4 linked regions of the Pelodiscus sinensis genome follow. The main gene of each other region encodes a partner of the protein of the gene in region 4 in a complex. Links are inferred from orthologs where the notes say so. Each region holds a gene or a part of one and is shown on either strand. Other genes may lie near its edges. The genes, in order: DRC7, DRC10, DRC8 and DRC4.

Region 1 (6,857 bases), about 43 Mb from region 4:
AGGGGCGAGGAAGAACGAGCTCTGAGCCTGTGGCCCACCTGCAAGACAGTCGCAGACCACCAGTAGTCCACACTGAGAACCACTGGTCCAAGGCAACACTTTTGGGTCACTTTCTTGCAGGGATACACTTTTCTGACAGCTCAACAAGTCCTGTCTGCATAATCCCACCAAGGAAGGGAAAGTCTCCTCCTGACACTTGTTTGAGCCCGTAAGTGGCGCGAGTCCCGCTCACGACCACTCGAATGGACACGTTCTCGCAGACCACGTGCAGCGTGGCCCCCGGCCTACCTTGACAGAACGCCCCGGTGAAGCCAGCGTTGCAGGTGCAGTTTGGTTTCCCCTCAACTACTTGGCAGACTCCCTGGTGCTTACAGGGGTTCGGGAAGCACAATCTCAGGCCTCTCTTGGGACGGAGGGCAGCCTCTCGCCTCGGGTCCTGCAGCTTCTTCAGATCGGCTAGAGCAGGAGGAACGTGTGGATGTTCGAGGTCATCGGGACTAAGCGGTTGTCACGGCACAAGCTACAGTTAACCTATCTAAGCTGGAGTCCATGTTCGGCTCGGTGGGGAGGGGATCTCGTTTGACACAGATGGGGATTCTCTAAGTCGCTGCTCACATCCCAGGAGAACCTTCCCACGGATGACGGAACCGCCTTGGGACACTCCATCCAAGACAACGCCTGTGCAGTGCCCATCGAGAGGGAACGCCCAGGAGTCCCGCGTTAGAGCTGAGCTCATTAGCAGCCGAAGCTCAGCATGGTGTGTGGCTGCCCTCCACTGTTACTGGAGATGCAGAACCTCCAGCTCTGGCTTGGCGGAGAAAGGGCTTCCCCTCAACAAGATACAGAGTTCCCACTGCTGCCACCAACGCTTTAGCAGAGCTATACGTTTTGGTGTCCTTCCACCCGCCCTCCTCCCTGCCAGCATTTCTGCTCTTGGGAGAAGCTACCAGTACTAGCCCTGCTCTGGGTAAGTAGCTTGAATGGGATTTCTTGTCCTCACTATTCAACCTACCCCTGTATCCCCCAGCATAGACTCACAATTGTCGCTCTCGCTGCCAGGCAGCCAGAGAGCAGAGAGAAGCAGCAGGCATGTCACAGTCACTTCCTGAAAAAACAAACACACACCAGCTTTTGTTTTGATTTCTAACATGCTCCTCTGTAGCCTCTGGAAACACAAGCAGCTGTTTAAAAGCCTCCCTGCAGCTGCAGAAGGGGCAGAGACGTTTAACCCGTCTAGAAAAGCAGGGGGGCGGGTCTATTGTTACTTCACCAATCACCTAAGACCTGAAGGGTCTGAACAGCAAAATCGTCTTCACCAGCTAGTGCAGGGCCAGATTTTCTCCAGCTTTATAGCAGCATAGCCAGTAGAGATACGCCACCACCAGCCTCTTCCCCAACTTAGAGAGCATGCAGACACAAATAAACCCAGACAAGTGACAAGAGGCCACTACTAACAGCGGAGCGCTTGCAATGAAATCCCACGGTCGGGGCTCCCGTGCACACAGACAGAAGGAGGGAAGAGTTGTGAGCGTCCCAAGGAAGTGGCAAATGTCAAGAGAAACAGCATCTTCCTGCGGGCCCTTTGCCCAGCGAGAGTGAGGATGTGGCTGTTAAGGGAACATACATTTACTCACAAACAGAAAAAGGAGGCAAATCAACCACCTCTCACCCTCCCAGCTGCCTATTTCAAGAGTGCAGCCGTTTGACACTGAAGGGGCCGCCGCATTGGCAAGCTTGTTAGAAGGCAGCGTGGGCTAGTGGATAGAACGCCAGTCTGACTCCACTGTCCTTAACACCAGGGACAATGCAGGTGTAAGCAGTTACCAGCCTGACCCAGGACTTTTTACACCTGCGTTGTTACTGGCTGCACAGCTAAGAGTCTGGAGAAGACTCTACTGTCATTGACTCAGTAGGAGACTTTGGACAGGTCACAGGCCTCACTTACCCCATCTGGGATATGGGAATATTATTAGAGCACAAGTTGATCAGTGAGGGCATACCACAGAGAAGCTCTATTATTAGCCCAGGAGTCCTACCCCACAGACGCAGGCCAAGTGCAATAAAAGCCAAAAGAGCTAGCAGGCAAGAGCCGCACTTGGATCAGACTTTCCCCGCTGCCTTGTGCCTTCTGCAGCCAAGCAGGCTGATGCAGCAGCATTTTGCACTCACTTTGCCTGAGGTTAAAGGACCGGACAAGGTGCAAGCAGCTGAGGAAACCAGGCCCTTTATTTAAAGGGAGAACAGGGGCTCATAAGAAGGCCTTTAGGAAGCCCTGCCAATGGCTTTCAGGAGGCAAGTAAACAGAGCTGCCCTCTTGCAAGCAACGATGAGGAAGCGAAATCCAGCAACAGCCACAAACAGATCCCTCCTCGCTCCTGAGATTTCATTTGCTCTACTCACCATTGCCAGACCAGCAGTGCCTTGCTCACCCACAGCTGTCCCCATTGCCTGCAGCCGCCTCAGGTGCCAGACTGTGGGGGTGCCACTAGTTCACGCTTTGTGAACAAGGCATTTTAAGTTGTTAGTTCTCCTTTACGGGGGTAGGGAGCAGAGCAGCCCCATGAGAGGAGGAGAACAGGAAGGAGGCAGAATTGAGACCTTTCAAAGTTTTGGCCCAAGTGAGGGGACATGGGGGCGTCATTTGAGCTCCCCGCCTCAGGTGCCAAAATGTTGTGGGCCGGCCCTGGCATCTGGGCCCATTTAGCGTCCTGCATCAGCTGCATTGAAGGAAGGAGCTTTTTCTGTTGGAGCACGAGCCATGAGCACTGGCACATTCGTGGCACTTGTGGCTCCCCGAGAGAGGAGTTTGCATTCTCCTCCCGCCCCACCCTTGTCTGTGAAAATAGCAGGTTTCCGTGGCTGGGGGGTGCTGCTCTGGACACAACAGTGAGACTAGGAAGCTTTTTCTTTCTTACACAGACAGAACTGGATTGCAAACCCTGTTCCCACACATGTGCCAGCCACACTCAGCTTAGGTATGAAAGGACGACTCTCTAGCCCAAAGCTCGAGTGCATGGTGGGAGGGAACCTTAAAGCTTCAGAAAATGGAGAGCAAAGAAAAGAGCCCAGTGTGGATTACTCTAAAAATTTAATTTTTTAAAGCAAGATCCTGATTCTTGCATCCTGGGCCCCGTTTGCTGCCCCCTGTCCCCCTCTCCCGTCCCTGATGCATCTACTAGTCCCGCCTGCCATGCCCATGTGGTTTAGAAGGACCCTGGTCCCCACCTGTATTGCAGGGCTAGGGTGGCTTCCAGCTGCTTGCTCTGCACAGCTGCTGGCACATCCCTGTCCCTGAGGCCCCAGAGGGGGTATCTCCGTGTGCTGCCCCTGCTCTGAGCGCCCCTGCAGTTGATGGGAAGCTGTGGGTGCAGTGCCTGTGGGCAGCAGCACACAGAGACCCCTCTTCAATCCCCCCAACCTAGGAGCTGCTACCAGAGAAGGTGCCCCAGGTAAGTGCTGCACCCCCACTCCTGCCTTCTGGGCCCCACCCTCTCCCAGAGCCTGCACCCCCATCCCACTCATCTACTCACCTCCCAACTCCCTCCTGCACCCCGTCCCCCCAAAATTCACTAGCCCCAAATTCACTCACAGAACCTGCACTCCTCACCTTCTCCCACACCCACCTTCTCTCCCAGAGCCTGCACCCCAAACCCAATCCCCTGCCCCAGCCCAGAGCCTGCACTAGTGATGTGAGCTTATCAATTAAGTTTGGTGGTGGCCAGCCACGCTGGGCCACAGCAGCCCTGGCCGCAGTGGGGCTGGCAGGACCCTGAGTGCGGCAGGACCCCAGAACCACAGTGGGCCACATGGCGAGAGCCCACGGTCGTAATGGGGCCAGCTATGGGACCCCACCACCTACAGGTTTGCTCCGGAGCGGGGGAGAGGTTCCTGACTGACAGTAAAACTGATCAGAGGCACAGGGGGAAATTGGCTGGACTCCTTTCTCGGTCCGCGGGAGATGTGGAAGGTGAACCGGTGCCCCCGCGGCGGAAAAACAACCATTCGGTCCCACGTGTGCCGAGACAGGGTCTGGTGCAGGCTCAGTCAGCGCAAACGGGGCCTGCCCCAAACCCGGCCTGGGCCCACGTGCACCCCGATGTCACATGTTCTCCCCATTTCTCCACCAGTGACGCAGAAAGGAAACCGGTCCTGCCTGAACGGCCAGTCCCAGCCCTAGTCTGGTCTCCGCGCGGGGAACCGCTCCCGACCGAGGAACTACAGCTCCCAGAAGCCTCGGCCCTTGGACGGCGGTTGCCATGGCGAGGGAGACTCACAGGTGGGAGAAGCCGGCGAGGCGGCTGTGTGCGGAGGCGGGGGGCGGGGGGTCCTCCGGAGGGGCTGTGCGTGTGTGTGACGGAGGGTGGCAAAGGCAGGGGTGGGGGTGAGGGGAACAGGGGCCTGTCCCGGAGCAAGGAGACACCGAGGGCAGGGTGCAGAAAAGGGGCATCCCCGGAAAAGCCCAGCGCCTGTGCCGTGTCCCCTGGGCAGAGCGGGGGGCTGCGGCAGAGCCCGAAGAGGTGGGGGGCTGCTCCCCTTCCAAGCCCACGTGTCTCCCCATAGGCACTCGGTGTCTGCAAGGGGAGGGCCACCCAGAGGACCCAGGACGGAGGGGGCAGGAGGGAGCACCCCATTTCGCAGTCACACTTTGGAGGGCTTGCGGGGAGGGCAGGACACGCCATCACCCGTGGCCTTGGTGTCTCAGGCAAGCGTGTTTTTAGAACCGAAAACCAGGCCGTTTTCCCAGATTATCCCAGCCGGGGAGGGAGGGCGGATTAGAAGGGGGGGGGGCAAGAAGGGAGGGGCTGGCACGGTGGGAGCATTTGGGAGCTGGAAAGCGAGGGGCAGGGGTTTGCTCCTGAGGAGGGGAAGGTTGGACTCCCTCTGGCCAGGGCCGGCCCACAACATTTTGGCACCTGAGGCAGGGAGCTCAAATGACACCCCCATGTTCCCCTCGCTTGGGCCAAAACTTTGAAAGGTCTCAATTCTGCCTCCTTCCTGTTCTCCTCCTCTCATGGGGCTGCTCTGCTCCCTACTTATGCACCAGCAGCAGACACAATTTTCTACACTCTGGGTCCTAGTGGCGCCCCCCACCCCAAAATCTGGCACCTGAGGCGGCCACCTCAGTGCGCCTCATGGTGAAGCCAGCCCTGCTTCCCGCTCCTCCACCGTGGCTGCTGCAGCAGACCTCAAGCAGCCAGACTTTCAAGGCAGAAGGAGCAAAGTGAACCATTTGCACAGGGCAGTGATTAAAGGAATTGGGCGGGGGAGCCATGCCTGGGAGAGGAGGGGAGCCCTGTTTGCTCTGAACAGAAAAGGGAGCGCGTGCCCTCCTCCGTGTCCCGGTGTAGCGCCTTGCACAGTCAGCCCTGGCGGAGGCTGCATCAGTACGACCGGTCAGTACAAACACTCAGAGGAAAGCGGGGTGGGGAGCAGACAGAGGAGAGTTTCATGCAGACGGCAGGAGAGTTTGACAAATCTTATAAAAGAGACCTACAGCCATGAGGTTGTCGATGGGACAAGTTGGTTTGTTCCTGCCGGATCCTCCACTCTGGCTGGCTGGCGCAGTGTAATCCAAAGCCCAGGACAGGGAGAACTCCAGCAAATGGCCCAGGTTGTGTCCAATGTGAAACCACTCCGTCCTCTCCACCCTTCGGGGGCATTTCTTCAATAAATGCCTTTCTCCGGCTGGCTTCCTTCCACATGCCATTCATGCTGCCAACCAAAACAGTGCCCGATAAAGAGACGGCTTGCGTCTCCATTTTCACTTCTTATCTCCCCAGCCTTCAAAACGCACAGTAGGATCAATTTAAGCTTAAAAAATCAAACCAAACACATACCAAAAAACCCCACAACAGGCCTTGGAGATATAGACTCATAGACTTTAAGGTCAGAAGGGACCATTATGATCATCTAGTCTGACCCCCTGCACAGTGCAGGCCACAAAATCTCACCCACCCCTCCTAGAATAATCCTCTCACCTATATCTCAGATATTGAAGCCTTCAAATACTTTGAAGACCCCAAGATGCAGAGAATCCTCCAGCTGTGATCTCTACCCCATGCTACAGAGGAAGGCGAAAAACCTTCATGGGGTACAGATCACAGCTGGAGGATTCTCTGCATCTTGGGGTCTTCAAAGTATATTTCTGCTGCCTGCTATTTATTGAAATGTTAAAAGTCTCCCCGTGTACACCCTGACCCGCCATGCGCTCTCTGCCCTCAACACAGCCTTATCCAATACTCCGTAGCGGGGTTCCACAACTCAAGGTCAGCACATCTGAAGTGGCTGAGAAGAACTACTTTTTCCCCAATGCACAACTAGCCACAAGATAACACCAAGGCCAATAGCGTAGCAGGATTTTTTTAAAAATGAAGTGGACATTGATAAGGGTAATGGGAACCTCCAGAGTAGTCGGAGTAAGGATTAAAATAATTAGGTCTTTTGGAAGGGATCTAAACCCTCATGCTTCATGGCACCAATCAGGTTCTAACTCCAAGGGGTCAGGAAGAAATTCCCCTATGGACAGGATATTCCATAACTGCTACTTCTTCCTATCCTTTTAAAACAGGGGTGGCGAATATAAGGCCCGGGGGCCAGATGCGGCCCCCGGCTTGCCTGGATCCGGCCCCTGAGGCTCAGGGCTCTCCCCCAGCATTGGGGAGCCCATGCTGATGCTCCAGTCCCCCCACTATTCTCCTAAGGGGCTGGAGCACACAAAATCTACTAGCCCGGGTCCCCCTAGGCTCTGGTATGCGAGGGGAATGTGGGAAGTGTCTTTCTGGTTCTCAGTCGAGGGCCACATCAGTGGGGGAGTTGTTTGTTTTGGGGGGGGGTTGTTTCTCACTTGTGTGTGGCCC
Region 2 (7,961 bases), on a different chromosome or scaffold from region 4:
AGATGGAGAACTATGTTTGAGTGCCTGAATCTAAATATGCAGGGATTCATTTTAACTGTTTTTAGAATTAGATTTACCCAGTACTGTTTGGGCCCTTAACTTCATTATTTTTTGTTTTTGGAAAATAAAATGAAAATGCTTCATTTAAAGCATGCATTGGAGAGGGCGTGAGGATGAGGGGTTCAGTATGCATCAGAGCAGCTTGGGGCCAGGTGAAAAGCACCTCCCCATAGCTGCTGCGGCTCCACCAGGTACAACCTGGGGAGGGGTACATGTTCCCAGGCTGAGACAAGTCCTGATTTGTGCCCCCTACAGTCCCCAGCCAGATTGAGGATTGCAGCAAACTGCACTTTCCCCTTGCTCCCTGACAAAGAAGAACAGTCAGCAATGTTCCCATATGAATTGGGGGAAGGAGGCACGACTTCAGCCCACTCTAAAGAGGGCCTGGAGGGGAAGGGAGAAAGTGGCTTGGCGCTGAGGAAGTCCCAGATGGGGGGCAAATCCCCAGCTCACCCCTTTCACTTGCCTGGTAATTCTGTTTCTTTTCTATATGGTTTTATGAGAAGGCACATTCCATTTTCCTGGCACAATCAAACCCTTACCTTGCTTTTAGTCAGTAGTTCCCAATCTTTTTTATACTGTGGACCAGCAAACCCATTCACAAACTTTAGGCAGACTGTTAACATTTTATTTGCTTCCTTCTGCCACCGTCTCAGCCCAGTGCCGCAGCCAGCAGCAAGATCGGCCACACAGGTGGTGAGGGGGAGGCCAAGCCACCAACTTATCTGGGTGGGAGCGGGAGGAAGGCTCCTGCTACCACTTCTGTCACAGTGCAAAAATCAGTCTCTATGGGTGCTGGAGATAGTTGAGCCTCTGCAAACAGCCAGCTTCAGCTCTGGCAGCTGCTGTAGCCCAGCAGCCAGCACCGTGGACTGGCTGTTGGGAACCGCTGCTTTACGTTATGATAAGAGAAGGCTGTACACTGTATTTGGTAGCCCTAACTCTGTTTTGGAAAAGTTCTTGAACAAATAGACAGACATATTCTCTCAACTATATTGTAGATATAACTATTTCTAATTCAGAATGTGTATTAAGAAATATTTTAGTGACTTCCACTTTGAGAGGCAACAAACAGAATATAGTTTAGTTTACTGGCCTTTCCTACAATGACCTAGGTCTCTAGTTTGAAATGTTTAGTCTTACCACCACTGTACCTCATCATCTCGACTCTGGATTGCCATTGCAAGTTCTGCCTCTAATGCTGCAATAGTTTCACTGTTTTTCTTTTCCTGGAGGGAGATTTCTTCCATGAATTGAATCTTTTCTTGTTCTTCTAAGGGACTAGTCAGGAGTTTCTCAAATAAGAAACCCCGGAATTCTGACAACCTTTTGAGAAACATTTCAGATGATAAATCCCTAGCATAAGCCTCGTCTTTCACAGCTTGAGAAGCTATAGGGTCAGCCTGAAAGAGTCTCAGAATATTTCTTATAGAGCTTTTTACAGCTTGTTGATGCAATTGAAGACGGCGGTCAGTTCCTACAAGGTCCCCTCTTCCATCATCCTGCTTCAGGAAACCTTCTCTTTGAAGCTGGGTAAGTAAAGCTTCCATGTTGTTTGAAAGCCGCTCATGCTCCTTAAGGGTACCTATGAGCTCAGATCCCAGGATAGTGCTTAAATCACCCACACATTCAGTAATGTGAGAGATCAGACTGATCAGTTCTATCTTAAAGATGGTCTCATCCAAAACAGATATGATCCTCTTTGTCTCAACAGTGGTAAGTTTTGAACGAGCTGGATCCAAAAGCTTTAGTGGACTTGGTTTCATCACTGACTTTCTTGGAGTCTGACTGTATCCCATGGAGGGCCTGGTGGTTGATTCAGTTGCCTCATATGGCAACTGGAGCACGATAGCCACCTCTGTTGCCATATTCTCAGTCAAATATTTAAAAGTTCTAAGATGAAAGGGAGCAAAAATCTTCTATATGAATACAGTCACAGAGGACATCTTAATACACGTAGATTTAGATTCCCCTGCTGTTTTGCTGCATGCTCTTCTTTCACAACATTTACCTGAAAAAAAAAAGTTTGATTTTAGCATTAGCATCATGATATACCTTGGCCAAAATTGAGAATGTAAAATTATATGGGGTCTGTCTCTAAGTTTAAAAGCACATTCAGAATATTGGGTCCTTATGCCTATGACAGCCCACCCTCCTGTGCTGGAGGTGAAACTAATTCTAGTGGTTAGCCTCCAGTGCCTGAGACAGCTAATGAGCTGTTTGTTTCCTATGCTGAAAAGTGGAAGGAAAACTCTCCAGCCCTTGTGAGACTAGACTGAGATGGGGCAGGGATGCCCTGCTTTGGGGGGGAAGAGGGCTGGTTGCTCAGTCCCGTTGGAGGCTCCTAGGTCTCTGTGGCGGTGGGTTGAACAGGGGCTGGTCTATCAGAGCAGGTGGCCAGGTTGGTAAGGATGGGGGGGGGGGAGGTGGCCTGAGCGTGGGAATAGGGGAGCAAGCTCCCCGGTCTCCCTGGGTGGGCATGGGGGCAGGAGGCTGCCGGGGGTGCGGGCGAGGTCCCCCAACTCTCTTCACTTGCTCACACCACCGCCGCCGCCTCCCTTCCGGTCCTCTTCCAGCGTGTCTCTGTTGCTAGGTTACCCCTCGCTCACCTTTAACCCCAAACAAAGGAGGCGGGGATAGGTCCTGACTGATTTGCCCCCTCCCTCCATAGCCAATCGCCGCCCTTGTTCGGTAAGTTTAGCCCAGCCCCTTCCTTCTCCGTTGGAGGGCGGAGTCAGGGCAGAGACTTCGAGCCTTCTGTCCAATCCGAAACGGAAAATTTAGCCCTTCCTTTGATGGGCAAGACCAGAGTCCAATGGAAGGACAGAATGAAAGACACCCGGATGCCCCCCTTCCATGAGCCGCTGTTGCTAAAGAACGGAAGTAGGGCCGATTGGTCGGTCTCAGGCATGGGGCGGAGTCCTGAGGGAGACGGCCAATAGGCGGGGTGTGGACAATCGACGGCTGACTGAGGCGAGTTGTTGCAGCGACGGCGGGTTCGGGTCTGCTGTTGGTGCGGCCGGCGGGGGTCGCGCGGGCGGAGTGGAGAGTCCACGCGCACAGTGTGCCGAGGGGCGGGGCCGCTGCACGAGGAGCAGCCGGGGCCGGTGCGTGTCCCTGCGACCCTCCTGGGCAGAGAGCGAAGCTGAACCCCCCGGTGCGAGCGGGTCCCGGGGCCTTGCCCTGGCCCGGCGGCTGTCTGGCCCCGCCTCCCTGGGACTTGCCCCGCCTTCCCCGCGCAGGGCGAGGGGCCTGACTGGCGCCCCCCCGGTATCCGTAGGGCTCAGGAGTGCGGGTTTCGTGTGAGGCTCCTCCCCCCCGCCCCCGCGCTCCGCCCCCCGGGCAGGCTCCTCCCCCCCGCGCTCCGCCCCCCGGGCAGGCTCCTTTCCCCCCCCGCCCCCCCCGCGCTCCGCCCCCCCGGGCAGGCTCCTTCCCCCCCCCGCCCCCCCCCGCGCTCCGCCCCCCCGGGCAGGCTCCTCCCCCCCCGCCCCCGCGCTCCGCCCCCCCGGGCAGGCTCCTTCCCCCCCGCCCCCTCGCTCCGCCCCCCCGGGCAGGCTCCTTCCCCCCCCCCGCCCCCCCCGCGCTCCGCCCCCCCCGGGCAGGCTCCTTTCCCCCCCCCCCCCCGCGCTCCGCCCCCCCGGGCAGGCTCCTTTCCCCCCCCCCCGCGCTCCGCCCCCCCGGGCAGGCTCCTTTCCCCCCCCCCGCGCTCCGCCCCCCCGGGCAGGCTCCTTCCCCCCCCCCCAAATCTATCCCCAGGGCAGGCACTTTGAAAGAGAAACCATAGTGCTGGGTTTGAGGCCATGTGAGCCAGTGGTGCTTCGCTTCTCGCCTTCAGGCTAAGATCAGCCAACTGTATGCTAGGGACCTGCGCCTGCCTCTCTGGGGGTACTCCAGCACCCCTCAGGCGGGGGGGAGGTGCGGCTGAGGGGTGGCGGGATGCAGAGTGATGTGGTGGTGTCACCTTGTTGTCCCTCAGGAAAAATATATGTGGAGAGAGATGCGGCTTCTGCCTATTCTTTATTAACAAACATTGAGAAATGTACCCAGGACTATTTCTGTCCTAAATTAAACCATGAGTGGTGTAGCTATTGTGGTTGAGGCTAAGTTGGATCAAGTTTATTTATTTTTTAAATGGTGAGGGGTTGGTTGTAAACTAATGTTACTAATGAATTTACTTCTCTGAACTATTCTTTGCAGACAACTTGGTAGATTCTTTTTTGTATTGAGACCCCTGGAGATGGGTATGTTTTTCTGCATATTACGTCTAGAAGATGCACCTGGTTGATGGAGAACTTTCTGAGGAATATTTTTGACCAAGTGTTCTTGAAAGGTGGACTGCAAAAGACATTATTTAAAATTCTTAGGAGAGAAACCTGAAAGGAAATACAATGGCTGTAAGCATGGATGATGATGTTCCCCTCATTCTCACTTTGGATGAAAGTGGAAGCAACACCTCAGCAGTCAATGAGCTGGATTCAGAGGACTTGCCTAATGAAAGTAAGACTACTTGATAGGTTTTTTGGGGGGGAGGCGGAGGGAGGGAAGCATAGTTTATTTTCAGTCACCTGCTGTAATTGTGGTTTCAGTTTTTCCCCCCAGCAGTTCCATTGTATTCTTCTTATGGAAATCTTACACAATAATTATTCACAGTCTTAGGAATAACCTCAAGTACCTATTTGGAAATTGTTTATTTGCTCAAAACTCTCATAACTCTAATGAATGTTTTGAGTAGTGAAGGAATAAATGACTTGATCCTTTATATGAGTCTGTGTCATGCAACCTTTGATACTCTCAGGTAATAAATTGAGGAGTTTTTGCCCCTAAGCTGAAGTTTCTCTTTTCCATATCTGTGCTCCGAGCTATGTGTGTTCTCATGTGATGCCATTGGACCAGGCTAACACACAGTATTTGCAGTCATGTCATCGGATGTTTCCCCTAGAACATAAACTTGTCTGTCTGTAGCTGCTGTATTTATTTTTTACTCTTTTGGTTCTAGTCAAGAAATTGATCCCTTATGTAATCTTGCTTCATTCCTGCTCTGCACAGTCTGTCAATCTTAAATTTACGTCCCTGATAATTGAGATTTTTTTTTTATATGGGAAGAAGTGCTAGTATTTGTGGTGTGTATTTTTTAAATAGAAATGAGATAATGCTACCTCTGCCTATTTGCTTGGATCAAATAAACAGGACTTCTTAACATGCGGCCCGCGGTCCATTTGTTTGCGGCTTGTGGTGCAGTTTAGGTTTACATGGGGCTCAACACATGGCCCACAGATGGGATCCTTTGAACATGACCTTAACTGGGAATACACTCCACAACCACGAGGCATTTCCCAGGTGGGGTGAGCACTGAAAGTCATGAGCGGACAGGCTGGCTGGAACAGATGGGGGTACAGGGTGATGGCATTTCTACCTCTCCGGGAGGAGGTGCTGACAGCACTGGGACATTGTGGGAAATGCTGACTGCTTAGGTTTGTGGGCAGAGCCTGAGAAGTGCTGACTGGCTCACACTGGCCACATTTAGGTCCAGCACCCAGCTTAAGGTTTAATCTTTGTATTCATGACCGTCAGTGTGAAAGAAGCTATTGACATATACTTGCATATATATGCAACCCCACATAAGTTTCAGCCCTCCGCATGTGTTGTGAGCATCATTGTGGCCCCTTGGGCTTCCAAAGTTGAGTAGACCTGAATTAACTTACAATTTACTTTAAAAGTAACCATGCATGCTCCGTTCTTGCTATTGGTAGTATGTGCATGAGCTTCTGTATCTGTGCAGACACCGATGAAATCAGCTGGACTCTGCACAGCTTGATTGCTGAATCTGCACACTGTACAAGGATGGGCAAATACTGGCCCACAGGCTGGAAGATGGTTCCCCAGGGCAGGATCCTAGCAGGCCATCACTGCTACATTTAACTGTGCTTCCACAGGTATGGGTGATTGCAGCTTCCGTTGGCCATGGATCTCCATTCCCATGAAGCGGGAAGTGGCATGAGGCCGGAAGAGATCCTCCAAAAAAGCTTCTTCTGAAAGAGAGTGTCTACTCAGGAAAAGCACATTGCTTTTTTGAAAGATAGCATCCGCACTGAATGGATGCTCTCTTGCATTTAAGCTGTAATTACTATGGATGGAGTGGAGTGGCCACCAGGACACCTGTGATTTTTTTCCTCTTTCCTCTTCTTCCTACAAAAGGACTCCCTCTTCCCCATCCACACACGCTCTTTTCTGAAAGAGCTCTTTTGGAAAAAAGTTTCGTCCTTATAGAAAGAAGTTGACCAGTATCAGAAAAAACCCTCTATTCCAATTTTTTTTTTTTTTTTGAAAACACAATTGCAGTGTGGACTTAAGTAAAGTTTTTAATCTAAGATGTGGGAGTACCATGGATTAATATAGAGGCAATAAGATATTCATTGTCTTATTCACTCTGCCTTTTTAATGATTCCGAACATTCAGTTTGCTGTTTTGACTGCTGCTGCACGTGGCGTGGATGTCTTCCACAAATGATCCACAGTGACACCAAGATCTCTCTTGAGTGGTAACAGCTAAATTAATCCCCATTAGATTGTACATAGATGGGTTTATGTTTTCTAATATGCATTACTTTGCATTTATCAACATTAAATTTCATCTGTTGTTGTGTGAGATCCGTTGGAAGCTCTTCAGTCTCCTTTAGACTTAACTGTTTTGAGTTGTTTAGTATCGGCAAATCTTTTGCCACCTCAATGTGTATCCCCCTCTCAGATCATTTATGAATATATTGAATAGGATTTTTCCTAATATAAACTAGAGCTGTGGAAGGTTAACCATAACTGGTAAGCATTACCTGTTTAGGTAACTGGTAACCAGTGGGACCAGGAGCATCTTCCCATCTGCAGTGGGCAGTGAGCTGTGCCAGTTCCCAAGGGGGCCAACCACTGACAGGGGCTGCTTTCTTCCAGATCAGCCTCTCCCAGCAGGGAGCCTGACCCCACTGTGGGTGGGTGCTGCTCCAGTAGGTTGCTGGGAGCTCCCAGCAGCCCCGCTGGATTGATACCCCGCTTTAGTCAGTTAACCCGTTTAAATGATAACTGATTAACTGGGAGTTTACATCTCTAGTATGGACCTGTGGAGGAAATCACTAGTTACCATTCGCCATTGTGAAAACTGACCATTTATTGCTATCTTTAGCTTCCTGTCCTAACCTGTTATCAGTCCTTGAGAGGGCCTTCCCTCTGAAGACGTTTGAGAGACTTTGTCAAAGACTTCTTGCAAATCTAAGTACACTATATCTACTGGATCCCCCTTGTCCACATGCTTGTTGACCTCAAAGAATTCTATTAGATTTAATGAGTCATGAAACCTTGTTACGCATGTTAACCTTTCCCCAACAAATTATGTTTATTTATTAGGGATGTAAGCAAATAGTTGAGTATTCGACTGCTCACATTTCTCCCTCCGCCCCTTGATGCTTCTGTATGAAGGGCAACAAGAGCGGAAAAGGGGGAGTGGGAGCTGACTTAAAGCCAGTCCCCTCTCCCCGCAGCACAGTCTTCATGGTACTGCTTGCTCCCTTCCCCCCATTCCCACACTTCTGCCTCACAGGGGATGCTGCTGCAAGCTACAACTTCCAGGATCACCTCTAGAAACTTTTTTTAAAAACTGGCGTCACATTAGTTATCCTCCAGTCACTTGATACAGAAGATTAAAGGGTCAGTTATAAGCCACCATTAGTAGTTTTGCAATTTTCACAGTTGAGTTCTTTCAAAACTCTTTGGTGAATACCATCTGTTCCTGATGACTTAATACTGTTTATCAGTTTGTTCCAAAATCTCCCCTCGTGATACCTCAATCTGGGACAGTTCCTCAGATTTGTCCCCTAAAAAAGTTTCAGGTTTGGGATTCTCCCTCACATCCTCAGC
Region 3 (7,874 bases), on a different chromosome or scaffold from region 4:
CTTTGAAAACCCACATCTTAGAGAGCACAGAGACAATGGATGCCTCATGACTCAGCAAAGCATTAGAACATGTGATTTATGACTCCATATTTAGCCAGTATTTTTCAAGGCACCTCGACTGGGAGTATAAATTAGAGACTGTGACATCATCTCTGTGCCTCATTCCTGCCTTTCATCTCTGGGCTGAGATTTCTAACAAAGGCAGCTTGACCACTGTATTGTGCCTGAGGAGTTTATACTTGCTACTTAGCTGGGGGGAAATCTATGTATAGAACACACAACAAGTTAGGGGTTTGTGCCTGCTTCTTAACAGTCTGCCTTGCATTTGTATTGTTGCTTGTGAGCCACTCCAAACAGAGCCACAAATGGAGAATATTATCAAGTTGTGCAATCAATTAAGGAAGCTAAGAGAGAACAAAAGAAGATGGATGAAACTGCAAGACAGCAATATTCCCATGACATGAGGAATAGATGCACTGATTAAAGTGGCAAAAGAAAATTGGCTTGAACAACAGTACATTTATATACACAATTCTTTGCAGTAAATGCTACTAGGAAAGCTTAACAAATCATCAAAATTCCTTGAAAGGGTTCCCTCACAGGAAAAATACCATTTCACTCAACACTTGGGTAGGTGTCACCAATAACTGTATAATATGAGCAAAACAAACTCTAAGTTGGAAATGAAAGAAGCAGAGTGGATCTGCCTGAAAAGCTTGATTTTCCTGATGAACTTTTCCCCTACTATCTACAAAAGTAGAAGATGTGGTGTGGACTTTGAAAAACAATAAGGTCTCTACAGTGGATAACACACAAGCAAAGTGGTAGAGAGGCACTCATCTGGGCATACCATAAGCTTGTCAATGTGATTTGGGAGTCTGAAGGATGGCCCCAAATTTGGACACAATCACTGATGTTTTCTATTCCTAAAAAGGGGGACCCAATTATTATTGACACACCTGAGCAAAATATTATTGCACATGATCCTGAAGAGAGTTGCACCCAATAATTTTCTCACTGAAAAACAAGCTGGGTTTGGACCTGGAGCAAATGTTTAGCCTGTCTGTGCTATATGTGAAAGTGATGGAGAATGTTGGCAAGGTGGTCCATACCTCTGTGAATTTTGCTAGGGCATTTGACAGCATAGAACACAACCACTTCAGGCAATCTTATGTTTCAGTGAAGTCGGTGAAAAAATAATAAGGTGGATACAATATCTCTATGAAAATGCAATGGCTTCAGTATTTGTGGGGCATGAGCAAAGTAGTTGGTTTGATTAGTGTCCGAGGGGTTGCATGATATTACAGACATCTTCAAGAAGTTTTAAGAAAACCCCTCTGTGGATGAAAAATTAGTCATCTGTGCTTCACTGATGGTATTCAGCTGATGGGATCATTGTAAGAAAAGGTGCAAAAACGGCTAAAAAGAGTAAGGTCAAAAGATATTACATACACACACACACAAAACCAAACAAGGACAATGGTGAAATCTAAGTCCACTGAAAAGGCAAAGATATTCCTATCCAAATCTGCAACTTCTATTTGAAGAGCATTGAGCACTTCAAACACGTAGGTAGTATGACTAGAAGGGATGGTAAACATCACTTAGAAATCTGACATGAAGCTGGAATCACAATTGTTGCTCTAGCAACACTCAGCCACATTTGGAGAAGCAAAGGAATTACCATGAAGTGTAAAATTAAATTGCTGCAGTATCTTGTCCTCAGCATCTTGCTACATGCTTGTGAGAAATTGATGCTTAGGCTGTCTACATTACTCCTTTTGTTGGTAACTTATGTTGCTCAGGGTTGTGAAAACACCACAATTGGAGCAACATAAGTTACATCAACAGAATTGCTGGTGTGGACAGTGCTATGTCAGCAGGAGAGTGTCTCCTGCCAATATACCTACCATTGCTTACTGGCGGGGGGCAGGGAGTGTTAGTTATCTCTACAGAAGAGCTGTATCCCATTGAAACAGAGCAGCTACATGAGAGACCTTGCAACAGCACAGCTGCCTCAGCGCATCTGTGCCACTGTAAGCTCTGGTGTAGACATTGCCGTAGGAAACAGGGCACTGAAGGCAGGAAGTCTCTTAAATTGAAAAGACACAAGCAATTGCTGCACATTAGTTATCCCTTATACCTGATTAATGAGGAGGTACTTGCCCAAATTTACAGCAGGACTGGAATGATACCTGATATTATCAAGATGATCAAAGAAAATTTGAGTTTGCAAGACATTTGGGAGAGCTGAGCTGAGCAAGACTCCTGAAGCAAGTTTGTAGAGATTGGTGCCAACTTCAGGGAGGTGCTCATGGCTAAGATGGTTCAATGATGTTGTGGCTAATTAGATGGGATGCCATATGGCACTCTTCTCAAGGCTATGTGAAGACCATGAAATGTGGAGGGAGATTATTGGCCAAAGACTGTCATTTGTTGTGTTTACTTTTCATTATGATGTGACTCTGGTGCTTTGCATTAAGGAAGATAATGTGTGTAGTATTTAGAGTAGCTTTGCTCAAATGTTACTAATCCACTAAACCATTCAAGAGCATGAGATGATGTTTCACTAAGCTAATTGTCTGTTGTATTAGGGCTCTTATTATGCCCATTTTTTATTCTACATTATGTTTTAATAAATGACAAAGGCAAAATAACTGATTGCAAGGGGTATCATGGTGTGGTCATTTAAAAAAATAACTTATATTACAGTATTACAAAAATATAATTTGTTTTAGGAAGCAAAGAGCTCTGGTTCTGTTCAATTTTATAGGTGAACTGGTTGTAAGTTTCTATTATTTTGCATGATCTCTGAGCACAACATAACTATGTTTGTTGTGGGAAAAATAATCATCACCCCTTCTTTGCTGCACTTCAACATTAGAAAAAGCAGCTGCTTAGGGCAAGGACAAGGGTCTAGTTCTAGGACTTTTATAATCAATGTTCTTGCTGTGAAATCCTAAATGAATACTATGGTTGTTATCTGAGTGAATCCTTAACTTAAACATTAATATCCCTAAATAATTTTTTCTCATTTAAGAAAATAGCACTCTGAAATAACTGAGGCACCACTTTTCAATGCAGCTTGATTGTATTCTTGTGTTTATATTTTGTATTTTTTAACTTTCAGAGTTGATTTTGAGTTTGAAAAGCCACGAACTGCATGCATGTGTAAATTCTCAGCCAAAATTTTAATCTGGATTTTCCCTCAATGTCAGGGGATATAAAGAAAACTTTAGCTATGTCGGTTTTTCTTTATTTAAGCATAACATGTCTTTTAATTTTTCAGTGCATAGATGGAGAGTCCTTTCACTGCTGCCATGTGCCATTTTAAAAAGCCTGATTCTGTGAAAGGGCAAGATTGTATAATTCACAGCATCACATTATTTATTTGAGGGAGACTACCCCAAAAGGAAACACTTTTAAACAGGAGGAGGCTTTTTGATAGAAAACGAATATATTAGGGACTTATGCTGAAAATAGCATGAAGGGAGGTTGCTTACTACTGAAATCAATAGGACTCTGTGGCAATAATAACTATTTTTCATAATGCTTGCAGGACCAGGACCATGGACTTTTCTTCTTCAGTGGTGCCAATTCTGCTTTGAAATCAGACAATTTCTAAAGAGTGAATGACTGTTAACATATTTTTTTTCAATATAGTGATGGCAATAACAGTGTAATACTAAACATAAAAAACAAAAATTCCACAACTAGATTAAATATTTGGGAGTAGCCAGCAATTTGAAACTTTTACACAGAAGTGTGCTGACTTCTATACCCATTATCCACAGGCCTGTAATCTCCTGAAGAAGATAAAACATAATGGCCAGATTCCAACAAACCATCATTTTAAACTATTTTATTCATTTTTATATTGTTTGGTTGTAGTTGCAGTGTTTCTGTAGAATTAAGCATTGGGGCTAGGGCGAAAGACAGACAAAAGAGTTTATTTATTGTTGTTGAAATTAGTGGGAGCTGTGGTTTTCAGTGGTTACTAAGTTAAACCCAAAAGGGGATTCCTTCATTGGTGCTACATAGACATGGATATATATCCACTGCAACGTAAACTACAGCGGCCTATTTTTGCTTTGCAATGTACGTGGACTTTTAATTGAACTTCACAAGTGCGCTACAAACTTGTATGATAGACAGTGGATCACAACCTTTCCAGACTAAACCTTTATCCCCCTTTAGGAAGCTGATTTGTCTTGAGTACCCTGAAGTTGCATGTCACTTAAAAATGACTTGCTTATACAATCAGAGATAGAAATACAGAAGTGTTACAGCACACTACCACTGAAACATGGCTTACCTTTCAATTTCTACAGTATAAAGTAAATCAATTGAAACTATTGCACTTACATTTCAGGATGAGGTATATCAAACAGTTTCAACAAATCATTGTCTGAAATTTCATTTGCTATGGGCTGTGCAGGAATGTAGCCTGTTGTAAAACTAGCCAAGTCTCTAGATGAGTTGATGCATCTCCTGGAAGACCTCTACATACCCCCTGATTGAGAACCACTGAGTTAGGCAGGGAGCTGGACAATCACCTTAACAAGTCACTTCCCCTCTCTGGGCCTGCTCCCCCTGCAGCAAGGAGGGGCTGACCTCAGCCTAGGGGACCTGATAGCCACTGAACCATTGCAAGCCCTGATATGATGGAAAATTCTTCAAGTCGGGGCTGCAGCACCCTTAGCCCCAGCACCTCTGTCTTGCTGTGCAACGTCCCTACAAGGCTGGGGCTGGGCTCAGGAGTAAGCGGGGGTGGCTGGAGCAGGCTCCCTGCTGCCAGATAAAATACATCCCTGGAAGGGGAGGGGGAGGAGCGTCAGGGGCTCCCCCCCGCATGGGACAGGAGGCTGCAAACTCTGCGGGGAGAGCGAGAGTCCCGGGGGCCGGGCCGGGCTCAGCCGGAGCTGGGAGCGCGCGGGCGCGGCCAGGCCAGCAGCAGCCGCTGCCGCGTTGCCATGGTGACGGCGGCTGCGGGCCGCCATGGCGGAGGAGAAGGAGGGAGCCGCGGCGGGTAAGAAACCGCCGGGGCCGAGACCCGGCCCGGCAGCGGCTCAGCCCCCGCCCCGCCAAACCCCCGAGAGAAGGCGCCGGGCAGCAGCGCCCCTAGTCCCAGCACCTCTGTGTGGCCGCGCAGGGCCAGGAACCCCGGGCTGGGCTGGGCCCAGGAGGAAGTGACTGGAGCCTCCCCACCCTACGCCCTCTGCCGGGGCCCCTCGCGGGGCGATGCACCGGGACACGGGGAGAGGGTGAAGGGGGGGATGGACACGGGGACACGGGGAGAGGGTGAAGGGGGGGGGATGGACACGGGGAGAGGGTGAAGGGGGGGGATGGACACGGGGACACGGGGAGAGGGTGAAGGGGGGGATGGACACAGAGACACGGGGAGAGGGTGAAGGGGGGGATGGACACGGGGACACGGGGAGAGGGTGAAGGGGGGGATGGACACGGGGAGAGGGTGAAGGGGGGGGATGGACACGGGGACACGGGGAGAGGGTGAAGGGGGGGATGGACACGGGGACACGGGGAGAGGGTGAAGGGGGGATGGACACAGGGACACGGGGAGAGGGTGAAGGGGGGGATGGACACGGGGACACGGGGAGAGGGTGAAGGGGGGGATGGACACGGGGACACGGGGAGAGGGTGAAGGGGGGGGATGGACACGGGGACACGGGGAGAGGGTGAAGGGGGGGATGGACACGGGGACACGGGGAGAGGGTGAAGGGGGGATGGACACGGGGACACGGGGAGAGGGTGAAGGGGGGGATGGACACGGGGACACGGGGAGAGGGTGAAGGGGGGGGATGGACACGGGGACACGGGGAGAGGGTGAAGGGGGGGGGATGGACACGGGGACACGGGGAGAGGGTGTAGGGGGGGAGGTTGGACACGGGGACAGTAGGAGATGGTGTAGGGCAGGAAGACCAAAGATGTCTGGGTCAATTTATGGAAGGAACATTTTGGTAGGTTTGTTTCTTCACATTCTTTGCTGGGATTGAAGAGTGTTCCCGCCCCACCTTTTTGTCTGGCCCCTGTGCTTTTGTTTCCTTTCATGATGCCTCACACATAGTCATTACTTACTTCAGGGAGTTCACATCAGAGTCTAGAATGAAAAGGCAATATCAGCTCATGCCTCAATCAAGGAGAAACCAGCCCTTGTTTTTAGTCTCAATTTTTGGATTTATAGTCTTTCAGTTTGACATTGTAAATAAAAAACAATCCTTCCTTCTGCAGTGCTTTGTTAGTATAATAAAAGTCATATGCATCACCGTAGTTTGTAAAATGATTTAACAAACTATACACAGCACCATACATGATGAAAGTAATTCATCCACCACTGAAGTGTATTTGAGGGGAAGGGATTACTTTTGGCCCTTTACTCTAGGGCAAACCTTACAAAAAGTATCATGGGATTGTTAATGACTTTGGGGAGCAGACATTTGGTTTTACCACAGCAGAAATGCATTCACAGTAAGCTGTTTGCAACTCTATCTACCTTGGACAGCAAACAAACAAATTGATCCTCTTGGGATCTGACTTTGTGTTTCCAAAGGATCTAAGTAGTTGGAATCTAATGTTTTGACCAGTTAGCTGTTCCCTCTGCTTGTACAATTTATTATACTTCAGTTTCAAATATAGCTAGTCACCACTGCCAAGAAAAAGTAATCAGTGTGATATTAAATTAAGTGATAATGTTCATACTATTTCAATATAGAAGGCATTAACAGATGCTATGTTTAATGGACCACAAGTATGATTTATAACAAGAATATTCAAACATCATGAATGCTAACCTCATCATATCCCAAGATAAATCAGAAATACAATTTATTTGCTGCATTAGTCTCAATAGTTTTATGTATTTTAATCTTTAGTCCGCATTTTGCCCCCTACTAATAGTAGTTGTTATTCAAAATTTGCGAATTCTACATATTGTATTTGAAATAATCAAATTTCAGTAGCAAACAATGTAATGTTTGTTGTTAATTATGAAAAACGGTATAATCAATAGAGCAGTGCTACAGAAATATTTGCTGTTAATTGCTGTGATGAGGAATTGGAAATTATTGTTATATGTATGTCTAAGCAACCTATTACTATTAGATGTAGGCACCATGCATAAATTAAGAAATAACATCAACTTTCTTTCAGAATAAATAATTGATTTTTTTCCCTCTTTCCATTCAGTTATATGGGGCTAATAAATGAGTAGTTAGTTACATCTATATGGTTCATTTGGCCCTGTAGTTAGAGCCACTTCATGCATAAATCTTACGGGAATGCCTACCAAAAGGGAGAGGTCTTGCATCATGACCTGAAAGTGTAAGACTTGGTCTCATCCTGATTTCTGCTGGTAACAGATTCCACAGCTGAGAGCCTTCTATTTACTGATCATTCGCTGGCAAATTATCACTGGTTGTATCAGCCAGTGTTCCTGTAGAAAGAAGGTATTATGTGAATCGAAGAGGGCCTTTGAAGTAGGTTGGCCCTCACTTAAACACACAGGGCTTTAAAGATAAGGACTTTAATAATAACCAGAATTATCCAGAGTAGAGCACAGAGTATTGTGATGTACTTGCAGTGGTCTGCTTAGCAGACTAGCTGCTGCATGTTGTGGTATCTCTAGTTTGTGGGTAGACCTTTGTCTCAGGTAATTTGGTAGAGTGATTTGCAATAATCCAGTCTCAAAATAGTTACTGTGGCTACTTCCACATGTTGTAATGTAACAATACTTAGCTATTATGCATTAATTTTCATCTGTACTTAGGCCTTATCTACATGTACTAGGAGATCAGTGCTGTGGGGATCAGTTTCCTGGGAGGGTCAAGTTCATGGGTCTAGTAAAGACCCGCTAAATT
Region 4 (7,964 bases):
GGCGCCGCTGCAGGGCCGGGCTCCGGGACCGGGGGCGGCTCCCTGCGGCGCTGCACCTGCCCGGGCCGCGGGTCCCTCCCGTCGCCGGTGATGGGCGCGGGGCGAACCAGTCCGGGCGCGCCCAGCAGCAGCCGGGGGCCGAAGGAGGCGCCGGGGCGGGGGGCGCTGCCCCAACTTTCCCTGGGGCGGGGGCCCCAGCCGGGAGCCGCCACCTACCTGCGGTCCCCGCTCCGCCGGGAGCCTCCATCCGGCCGGGAGCCCGGGCGGCGTCAGGCCGAGCCTCCGCGTCCCCGCAGCGCTGCGCCCGCGCCGGCCCGCATGGCCCCGCCGAGCCCCGCTGCCCAGCCGGCGCTGCAGCGCCACTCAGCCCGCCGCGGAGCGGGGCGGGGCCGCAGCGGGGGGCGGCAGCGGGCGGGGGAGCGGCGAGGACAGGTGCAGCGGGCGCCTTTCTCCCCCTCCCCGCGGCTGGCTCCCCCCGCTCTGCGCTGCTGACAGCCGGGCCGGGCTCTACCTTGGCCGTGGAGAGGCGGGGGAGTCCGCACTTCCAGGGGTGAAGGACGCGCCGGTGGGGTCCATACGGCCCCCCAATGCCCCTTCTTGCTCCCACCTCCCCACAGGGGGGGCTGATGGTAATGGGAGAGCCCCCCCCCCCACGCCCTCTGGTTTGGTGTGGTCCTGGGGCAGGGGCTGCTGCCCCACAGAAAAATCAGTCGGGGGCCCACAGAAGGGAGACACAAAACAAAACCTCACTGAGGGGGCCCCGACTGAGGAGACAGACTCCCCCCTCATTCCCCCGGGGGGGGCACAGGCTAGGAGATTGTGTGCTCCAGCCTGTCCAGGAGGTGGGGGGCTGGAGCACCAGCCTGGGATCCCCAATGCTGCGGGGGGCTGGGCCTTGAGTCAGCAGACTCCTTTGCCGGCTCACAATGCGGAGTCTGGAGCCCCTGGTGCAGCGGGGGCCACGTGTGTTCACCCATCCCCAGCAGGGATGTTACATTTGAGTTAATTGAATAGTCGAGTAACCTCATAAATTCTGATCGGTTACTTGACTATTCTATAGTCCCCGGGGGCGGGCCGGCAGCCAGTTCACTCCAGCCCCACTCCCGAGGAGCCCCCTGCCACTCTGCACTGCTGCCCCTCTCAGAGACAGCAGCGTGGGGTTCCAGGTGGGAGCTGGTCCGCGAGGGGAGCCAGTTTAAAAACCAGCTCCCTTCATGGACCAACTGCCTGCTGCTCCACGCTGCTGCCTCTGATACAGAGGCAGCAGCATGGGGTGGCAGCAGCCCCTGCCTGGGGTGGGGGTCTGAGCGCCCAGACATGGTGCGAGCCAGAACTGAAGCAGGCTGCCAGCCCGCCTGGCTCCTAACATGCTTTAAATGCAGAGCTGCCATAGGGGGAGGTCCTGGACCTGGCACAAACCAGGACTGAGCTGGGCTGCTGGGCAGCCTGCTAAAAAACTACACTATTATATCCCTAATCCCCAGCAGGACCAAATATGCAAGGGTGGGCCCCGTTGCTGGGGACAGGGCCCTGCAGAACAGGGTGGCGGGTGGGACCTGGGAGGGCTAGTGGCTGTGGCTCCAAGGGGAAAGGATCGGGGTGATGTGACATGGAGCCCCGAGCAAAGGAAGATGCTGTTGCTGCATACAGGCTCCGGAGCCAGCAGCAGGGTCGTGGCAGGCAGGGTGCCCGGGCGGCACAGACCGGTGCCTACTGAGGAGAGGTCGGTAGGAGGGGAGGGAGGAGTGCCCGGAAGGGAGCTTAGGCTGAGCAGTGGGGGGGGGGCTGTTTCTGAGGCCCAGTCCACACCTCAAAATCAGATCAACTTAGCCCCGCGGCCCAGGGTGTGAACAGGCATGTGCTCTGTGCGATGGTTAGGCCGGCCTGACCCACCCCCAGGGAGGTGCCGCTAGGCCTGCAGGAAGCAGGGTTCTGCTGAAAACCTGCCTGCGGTGGGCAGATTAACTGCCCTGACAGAAAGCCCCCTTCGGGTGACATCCGAAGCACCCCAGCAACAGCAGCACAGCTGTACTGGAGTCGCCAGCTGTGTCATCTGTCCAGCCAAGCCCCTCGCCAGAAGGGCCCGCCGAGCCGTCTGGGGAAGCAAGGGAAAGCAGATTGCACCTGGCTTGCTCACCGGCTGGGGGGCTCAGGGGTCCCTAACGGGCATGCCTCCATCAGTGGTCCCCATGGAGCTTTGCTGGGGTGGAGACTAGGGCATCAGAGACAGCAGAGCTGCTGGGGCCCTGGGTGTAGACCTTGCTGGCCCCGCTATTGCATGAGCCTCAGTGATGCCATCCCATGAGCTCTGATTAGTAAATCTGTGACGCAGTGTCAGTACCTTGCTGGTCACTATGCTTGGGCTGTGGGTGACCCCTAGTGGCCAGTGTCCGGAGCACTGCCCAGCAGGTGGGCTGCCTAAGACCTGACCGGTCTGACCGGTTGAGGGCACCAAGGGAACTAGGAAGTGAGGGTTGAGGGAAGGGTCAGTCTGGGGCTGGAATCATGAAGGAACCAGTCTAAGAAGGGGGTTGGAATCTAGGGGCCCTGAGACCCCATCTTAAGGGGGCTGAGGCATCCTGGCCCAGACTCCTGTAGACACATCGCATCTGTGCTGTTTCCGGGAGAAGCAATAAACCCCTCTCTATTCTACCGGCTGGTGGGTCTGTTCTTGCTGCTATGGGACTGCAGGATCGGAGGAACCCCAACACGTCCTCACATAATCCAAGCACCTGGGAAGCTCCCAGGCGGGGCAGCCTTTCACATCCACCACCTCCACTCATATCCCCCACGGGTACACTGCCCTGGCTGGGATGAGCCGTGCATTTGCTGGATGTGCTCTGTCCCCTGCTCTCTGATGGGCTAGATCTCCGGGGTTCCTGGCCTGTGAGTCCCATTCATGCTTGCCATTCCAAGGCGTCCCATTGTGTCCCCCAAGTCCATCCCTCATACACACCCTGCCAGGAGCAGCACCTCCTGCTGGCTGCCAAGAAGAGACCTCTCTGGAGCTGCCAAGTCAACGTGACAGGCGCTGGGTGCAGGGGGGGATCAGGGCAGGTCACTGAGTAGGAATTTAGGCCACATTGGTCAAACCCAGGTGCCTATGCTCCAGTCATAATTAAACTGCAATGTATTCCATGAGGGCACCGAAGTCTGGGAGGTCTCCCTCTCCGCAGGGCTCAGCACAGGCGGGAGGGGGAACTTGGTACCATGCAGACCCCAGCCCTGGTATTTGAACATTCTTGCTGTGCAGCCCTTCCTGGGAAATTAGTGCGAGTTGCCATCTATTGTGGAGCTCCCTGGTGCTGGTTTTCCCTGCTCTGTTCTTACTGTCCTTGATCTAGGCCGAGAGGCAGGAAAATCCTGTGCATCTACTATAAGAACTCTATGGTGTATAAAGCACCCACAGGGCATAGCTGCCTCATCTCAGGATCCCTGAATCCGCATCAGAGATGCCTCCCACTCGGTCCTTCCTGGGAGAGAATCTTGCACGGTTGTCTTGGGATGCCCATCTTAGGGAGGCAAATCCCAAAACTCAAAGGGCTTTGAAGCAACAGCATTAATTGCATCTGGAAACTCACTGAAAGCCTGCTGTAGAGTGCTCTCTGTGTGAAACCTTGCTAGGCAAGAAGGCAGCTGCATATGCTGAGGGTCATGGCTGGCAATGTTCCCTCTAATTTTTTCCATCCATGTGTGAAATAAATTTTATGTGCATTGAGCCATATGCAGATGTGCACCATCAATGCTGCCAGCCATGGAAGGTTGTGGGTGCTTTGCTAATCAGCCAGAAGGCATTTTAATCTCTTCTGGGTGGCTGCCCAAGTGCTCAGCTTACAAGGAACACTAATGGACAGCTTTTGGGTGTAGTGCCACACAAAAGTGCATGCTGCCTCTCCCTGCACTGAGACCAGGATCCCCTGAATCGGGTGAAGGTTACACCAGAAAGATGCCTGTGCACTGGCATCTTGGGTTGTTATGTGTTCGCACCATGATCTCCAGACCCACACTGTTCCCTTTTGAAGTCAAGAGGAAGTCAATTAACTGCAAACTCCCCCTGGGACCTGACAATCCAGCTGTTCCATTCACCTCTGCCTCCCCCGACTGAGGAGTCTGCTGTTAGATCATCCTGGCCTGATGGCTCACTGCACAGTGCAGGCTGGACTCCAGCTGCTTCTCCCATGGCTGTGATGCACCTGAGTAGATGCTTATAGCCTTAATATGCCTCACGGACATCTGGGGAGCAGATCTGGGAACTTGGTATAGGCCCCTAGCTAGAGTGAAGCCCTAAGAGACCCAGTGAGTCCACAGGGCCCGGAGTTTGGAGGGCCCTCGGCCTGTCCCCCTAACATGTACAAAGGCTGAGTGATTTTCCTGATCAGTCCCATCCTCAGCATCTGTGCATCTTTGTGGTGCTCCGGGGAGCAGAGGGGCACAGCTGGCAAGAGCCAAGGAAGCCCTGGGCCTCACACACAGCTTGCTGTGCACGGTGAGTGGGGGGATACTGCAGCGCAGCAGGGGACGGGGGGCACACCAGGCAGGCCACAGCTGGAGCGCCCTGCTCCACGGAAGCTGTGGCTGGCGCTCGGAGCATGGCAGCCTGGGGGTGTGTGGCCAGGGGCAAAGCACACGAGTGGATGCCGAGAAGACTCGGGCTTGGCCAACGTGCCGGGTGCAAGGCTGACGGGCCACGGGGCCTTCCCCTCCCCCTGGAGCCGGGGAGCCGGGCACCAGCGTCCCCCGTGAGCGGGGCCGCCCCAGCTGGGCCGCTGCTCCTGGCGCTGCCCATGCGCACGTGGAGCGACGTGTTCCGCACGCGGCCGGGAGGGGGCAGACGGGCTGCACCGCGGGACGCCCGGGCAGGGGCGGAGCCAGGGGTGGGCGGGGCCAGCGGCCCAGCGGCGCTCAGGGCCTAGAGTAGCGCTGCCGGCGGTTGCCAGGGCGGTGACGCGCGTTGCTATGGGCAGGAGCTCTCGCGAGACTTGCCCGGCGGTTGCCAAGAGACGCGGTGACTCTGAGCCCGCGCCCCAGCAGCCATGGTGAGGGCTGGGGGGTCGGGGGGGCCCGGGGGCAGCAGGAGGGGGGGGGTCGGGGGGGCCCGGGGGCAGCAGGAGGAGGGGTTCGGGGGGGGTCGGGGGGGCCCGGGGGCAGCAGGAGGAGGGGTTCGGGGGGGGTCGGAGGGGCCCGGGGGCAGCAGGAGGAGGGGTTCGGGGGGGGTCGGGGGGGCCCGGGGGCAGCAGGAGGAGGGGTTCGGGGGGGGTCGGAGGGGCCCGGGGGCAGCGGGAGGAGGGGTTCGGGGGGGGTCGGGGGGGCCCGGGGGCAGCGGGAGGAGGGGTTCGGGGGGGTCGGGGGGGCCCGGGGGCAGCAGGAGGAGGGGTTCGGGGGGGGTCGGGGGGGCCCGGGGGCAGCGGGAGGAGGGGTTCGGGGGGGGTCGGGGGGGCCCGGGGGCAGCGGGAGGAGGGGTTCGGGGGGGTCGGGGGGCCCGGGGGCAGCGGGAGGAGGGGTTCGGGGGGGGTCGGGGGGGCCCGGGGGCAGCAGGAGGAGGGGTTCGGGGGGGTCGGGGGGGCCCGGGGGCAGCAGGAGGAGGGGTTCGGGGGGGGTCGGAGGGGCCCGGGGGCAGCGGGAGGAGGGGTTCGGGGGGGGTCGGAGGGGCCCGGGGGCAGCGGGAGGAGGGGTTCGGGGGGGGTCGGAGGGGCCCGGGGGCAGCGGGAGGAGGGGTTCGGGGGGGGTCGGGGGGGCCCGGGGGCAGCGGGAGGAGGGGTTCGGGGGGGGTCGGAGGGGCCCGGGGGCAGCGGGAGGAGGGGTTCGGGGGGGGTCGGAGGGGCCCGGGGGCAGCGGGAGGAGGGGTTCGGGGGGGGTCGGGGGGGCCCGGGGGCAGCAGGAGGAGGGGTTCGGGGGGGGTCGGGGGGGCCCGGGGGCAGCAGGAGGAGGGGTTCGGGGGGGTCGGGGGGGCCCGGGGGCAGCAGGAGGAGGGGTTCGGGGGGGGTCGGAGGGGCCCGGGGGCAGCGGGAGGAGGGGTTCGGGGGGGGTCGGAGGGGCCCGGGGGCAGCGGGAGGAGGGGTTCGGGGGGGGTCGGGGGGGCCCGGGGGCAGCGGGAGGAGGGGTTCGGGGGGGGTCGGAGGGGCCCGGGGGCAGCGGGAGGAGGGGTTCGGGGGGGGTCGGAGGGGCCCGGGGGCAGCGGGAGGAGGGGTTCGGGGGGGGTCGGGGGGGCCCGGGGGCAGCGGGAGGAGGGGTTCGGGGGGGGTCGGAGGGGCCCGGGGGCAGCGGGAGGAGGGGTTCGGGGGGGGTCGGAGGGGCCCGGGGGCAGCGGGAGGAGGGGTTCGGGGGGGGTCGGGGGGGCCCGGGGGCAGCAGGAGGAGGGGTTCGGGGGGGGTCGGGGGGGCCCGGGGGCAGCAGGAGGAGGGGTTCGGGGGGGTCGGGGGGGCCCGGGGGCAGCAGGAGGAGGGGTTCGGGGGGGGTCGGAGGGGCCCGGGGGCAGCGGGAGGAGGGGTTCGGGGGGGGTCGGAGGGGCCCGGGGGCAGCGGGAGGAGGGGTTCGGGGGGGGTCGGGGGGGCCCGGGGGCAGCGGGAGGAGGGGTTCGGGGGGGGTCGGAGGGGCCCGGGGGCAGCGGGAGGAGGGGTTCGGGGGGGGTCGGAGGGGCCCGGGGGCAGCGGGAGGAGGGGTTCGGGGGGGGTCGGGGGGGCCCGGGGGCAGCGGGAGGAGGGGTTCGGGGGGGTCGGAGGGGCCCGGGAGCAGCAGGAGGAGGGGGTCGGGGGGGGGTCGGAGTGGCCCGGGGGCAGCAGGAGGAGGGGTTCGGTGGGGTCGGAGGGGCCCGGGGGCAGCGGGAGGGGGGATTCGGGGGGGGGTCGGAGGGGCTCGGGAGCAGCAGGAGGAGGGGGTCGGGGGGGGGTCGGAGTGGCCCGGGGGCAGCAGGAGGAGGGGTTCGGGGGGGTCGGAGTGGCCCGGGGGCAGCGGGAGGGGGGATTCGGGGGGGGTCGGAGTGGCCCGGGGGCAGCGGGAGGAGGGGTTCGGGGGGGGTCGGAGGGGCCCGGGGGCAGCAGGAGGAGGGGTTCGGGGGGGTCGGAGGGGCCCGGGGGCAGCGGGAGGGGGGATTCGGGGGGGTCAGAGGGGCCCGGGGGCAGCAGGAGGAGGGGTTCGGGGGGGGGTCGGAGGGGCCCGGGGGCAGCAGGAGGAGGGGTTCGGGGGGGGTCGGAGTGGCCCGGGGGCAGCGGGAGGAGGAGTTCAGGGGGGTCGGAAGGGCCCGGGGGCAGCGGGAGGAGGGGTTTGGGGGGGGTCGGAGGGGCCCGGGGGCAGCGGGAGGAGGGGTTCGGGGGGGTCGGAGGGGCCCGGGGGCAGCGGGAGGAGGGGTTCGGGGGGGGTCGGAGGGGCCCGGGGGCAGCGGGAGGAGGGGTTCGGGGGGGGGTCGGAGGGGCCCGGGGGCAGAGGGAGGAGGGGTTCGGGGGGGTCGGAAGGGCCCGGGGGCAGCGGGAGGAGGGGTTCGGGGGGGGTCGGAGTGGCCCGGGGGCAGCAGGAGGAGGGGTTCGGGGGGGGTCGGAGTGGCCCGGGGGCAGCAGGAGGAGGGGGTCGGGGGGGTCGAAGGGGCCTGGGGGCAGCAGGAGGAGGGGCACGTGCCCGCACATGCATGCCCCTAAGCCCCCCAGTGCTCAGGCTGCTCCATAAGGCTCATTCTCCCGAGGGCAGCTTGTGAGCCAGGAGCCCCAGTGCAGCGCTGGTGGAATGGCTTTGGTGTGGAGATTCTTGCACCTTTACAGACCCTCCTGCACTCTGGAAGCTGCTCAACGGGCACTGGTGCCAGGATCCCCCCTGTGCCATCTCATTGATACAAATTGCATTCATGCCCAGCAGCAGCCAGGTGGCAGTGGCACCTCCGCAGGTCTGAGCTAAGCCCCCCGTCACATGTTTTCTTTTCTTTTCTAAGGCGCCCAAACAGAAAGGTGGTAAGAAAGCCAAGGCTGCAGCGGTGGTGG

The links.
Region 1: DRC4 (region 4) and DRC7 share a complex: the UniProt entries of both Homo sapiens proteins name them as parts of the nexin-dynein regulatory complex. The link is inferred for Pelodiscus sinensis from reciprocal best matches to the Homo sapiens genes DRC4 and DRC7.
Region 2: DRC4 (region 4) and DRC10 share a complex: the UniProt entries of both Homo sapiens proteins name them as parts of the nexin-dynein regulatory complex. The link is inferred for Pelodiscus sinensis from reciprocal best matches to the Homo sapiens genes DRC4 and DRC10.
Region 3: DRC4 (region 4) and DRC8 share a complex: the UniProt entries of both Homo sapiens proteins name them as parts of the nexin-dynein regulatory complex. The link is inferred for Pelodiscus sinensis from reciprocal best matches to the Homo sapiens genes DRC4 and DRC8.

What each region holds. Positions count from the first base shown.
Region 1 is NC_134722.1:45,650,890-45,657,746, forward strand, and holds the start of DRC7 (dynein regulatory complex subunit 7), read left to right. Parts: upstream 1-3,857; 5' UTR 3,858-4,276; intron 4,277-4,371; exon of another isoform or gene 4,372-4,517; intron 4,518-6,857. Other genes in the region: uromodulin-like, read right to left, coding at 289-456, 1,039-1,105, 2,401-2,445. UniProt on the Homo sapiens protein: Component of the nexin-dynein regulatory complex (N-DRC) a key regulator of ciliary/flagellar motility which maintains the alignment and integrity of the distal axoneme and regulates microtubule sliding in motile axonemes.
Region 2 is NC_134725.1:14,337,147-14,345,107, reverse strand, and holds the start of DRC10 (dynein regulatory complex protein 10), read right to left. Parts: upstream 3,004-7,961; 5' UTR 2,670-3,003; intron 2,651-2,669; exon of another isoform or gene 2,593-2,650; intron 2,541-2,592; exon of another isoform or gene 2,212-2,540; intron 2,072-2,211; 5' UTR 1,929-2,071; coding exon 1,215-1,928; intron 1-1,214. Other genes in the region: TPCN1 (two pore channel protein 1), read left to right, coding at 4,449-4,557. UniProt on the Homo sapiens protein: Component of the nexin-dynein regulatory complex (N-DRC), a key regulator of ciliary/flagellar motility which maintains the alignment and integrity of the distal axoneme and regulates microtubule sliding in motile axonemes.
Region 3 is NC_134713.1:132,586,594-132,594,467, forward strand, and holds the start of DRC8 (dynein regulatory complex protein 8), read left to right. Parts: upstream 1-4,861; 5' UTR 4,862-4,998; coding exon 4,999-5,029; intron 5,030-5,134; exon of another isoform or gene 5,135-5,299; intron 5,300-7,874. UniProt on the Homo sapiens protein: Component of the nexin-dynein regulatory complex (N-DRC), a key regulator of ciliary/flagellar motility which maintains the alignment and integrity of the distal axoneme and regulates microtubule sliding in motile axonemes.
Region 4 is NC_134722.1:2,206,876-2,214,839, reverse strand, and holds the start of DRC4 (dynein regulatory complex subunit 4), read left to right. Parts: upstream 1-4,963; 5' UTR 4,964-5,033; coding exon 5,034-5,036; intron 5,037-7,915; coding exon 7,916-7,964. Other genes in the region: DBNDD1 (dysbindin domain-containing protein 1), read right to left, coding at 217-247. UniProt on the Homo sapiens protein: Component of the nexin-dynein regulatory complex (N-DRC), a key regulator of ciliary/flagellar motility which maintains the alignment and integrity of the distal axoneme and regulates microtubule sliding in motile axonemes.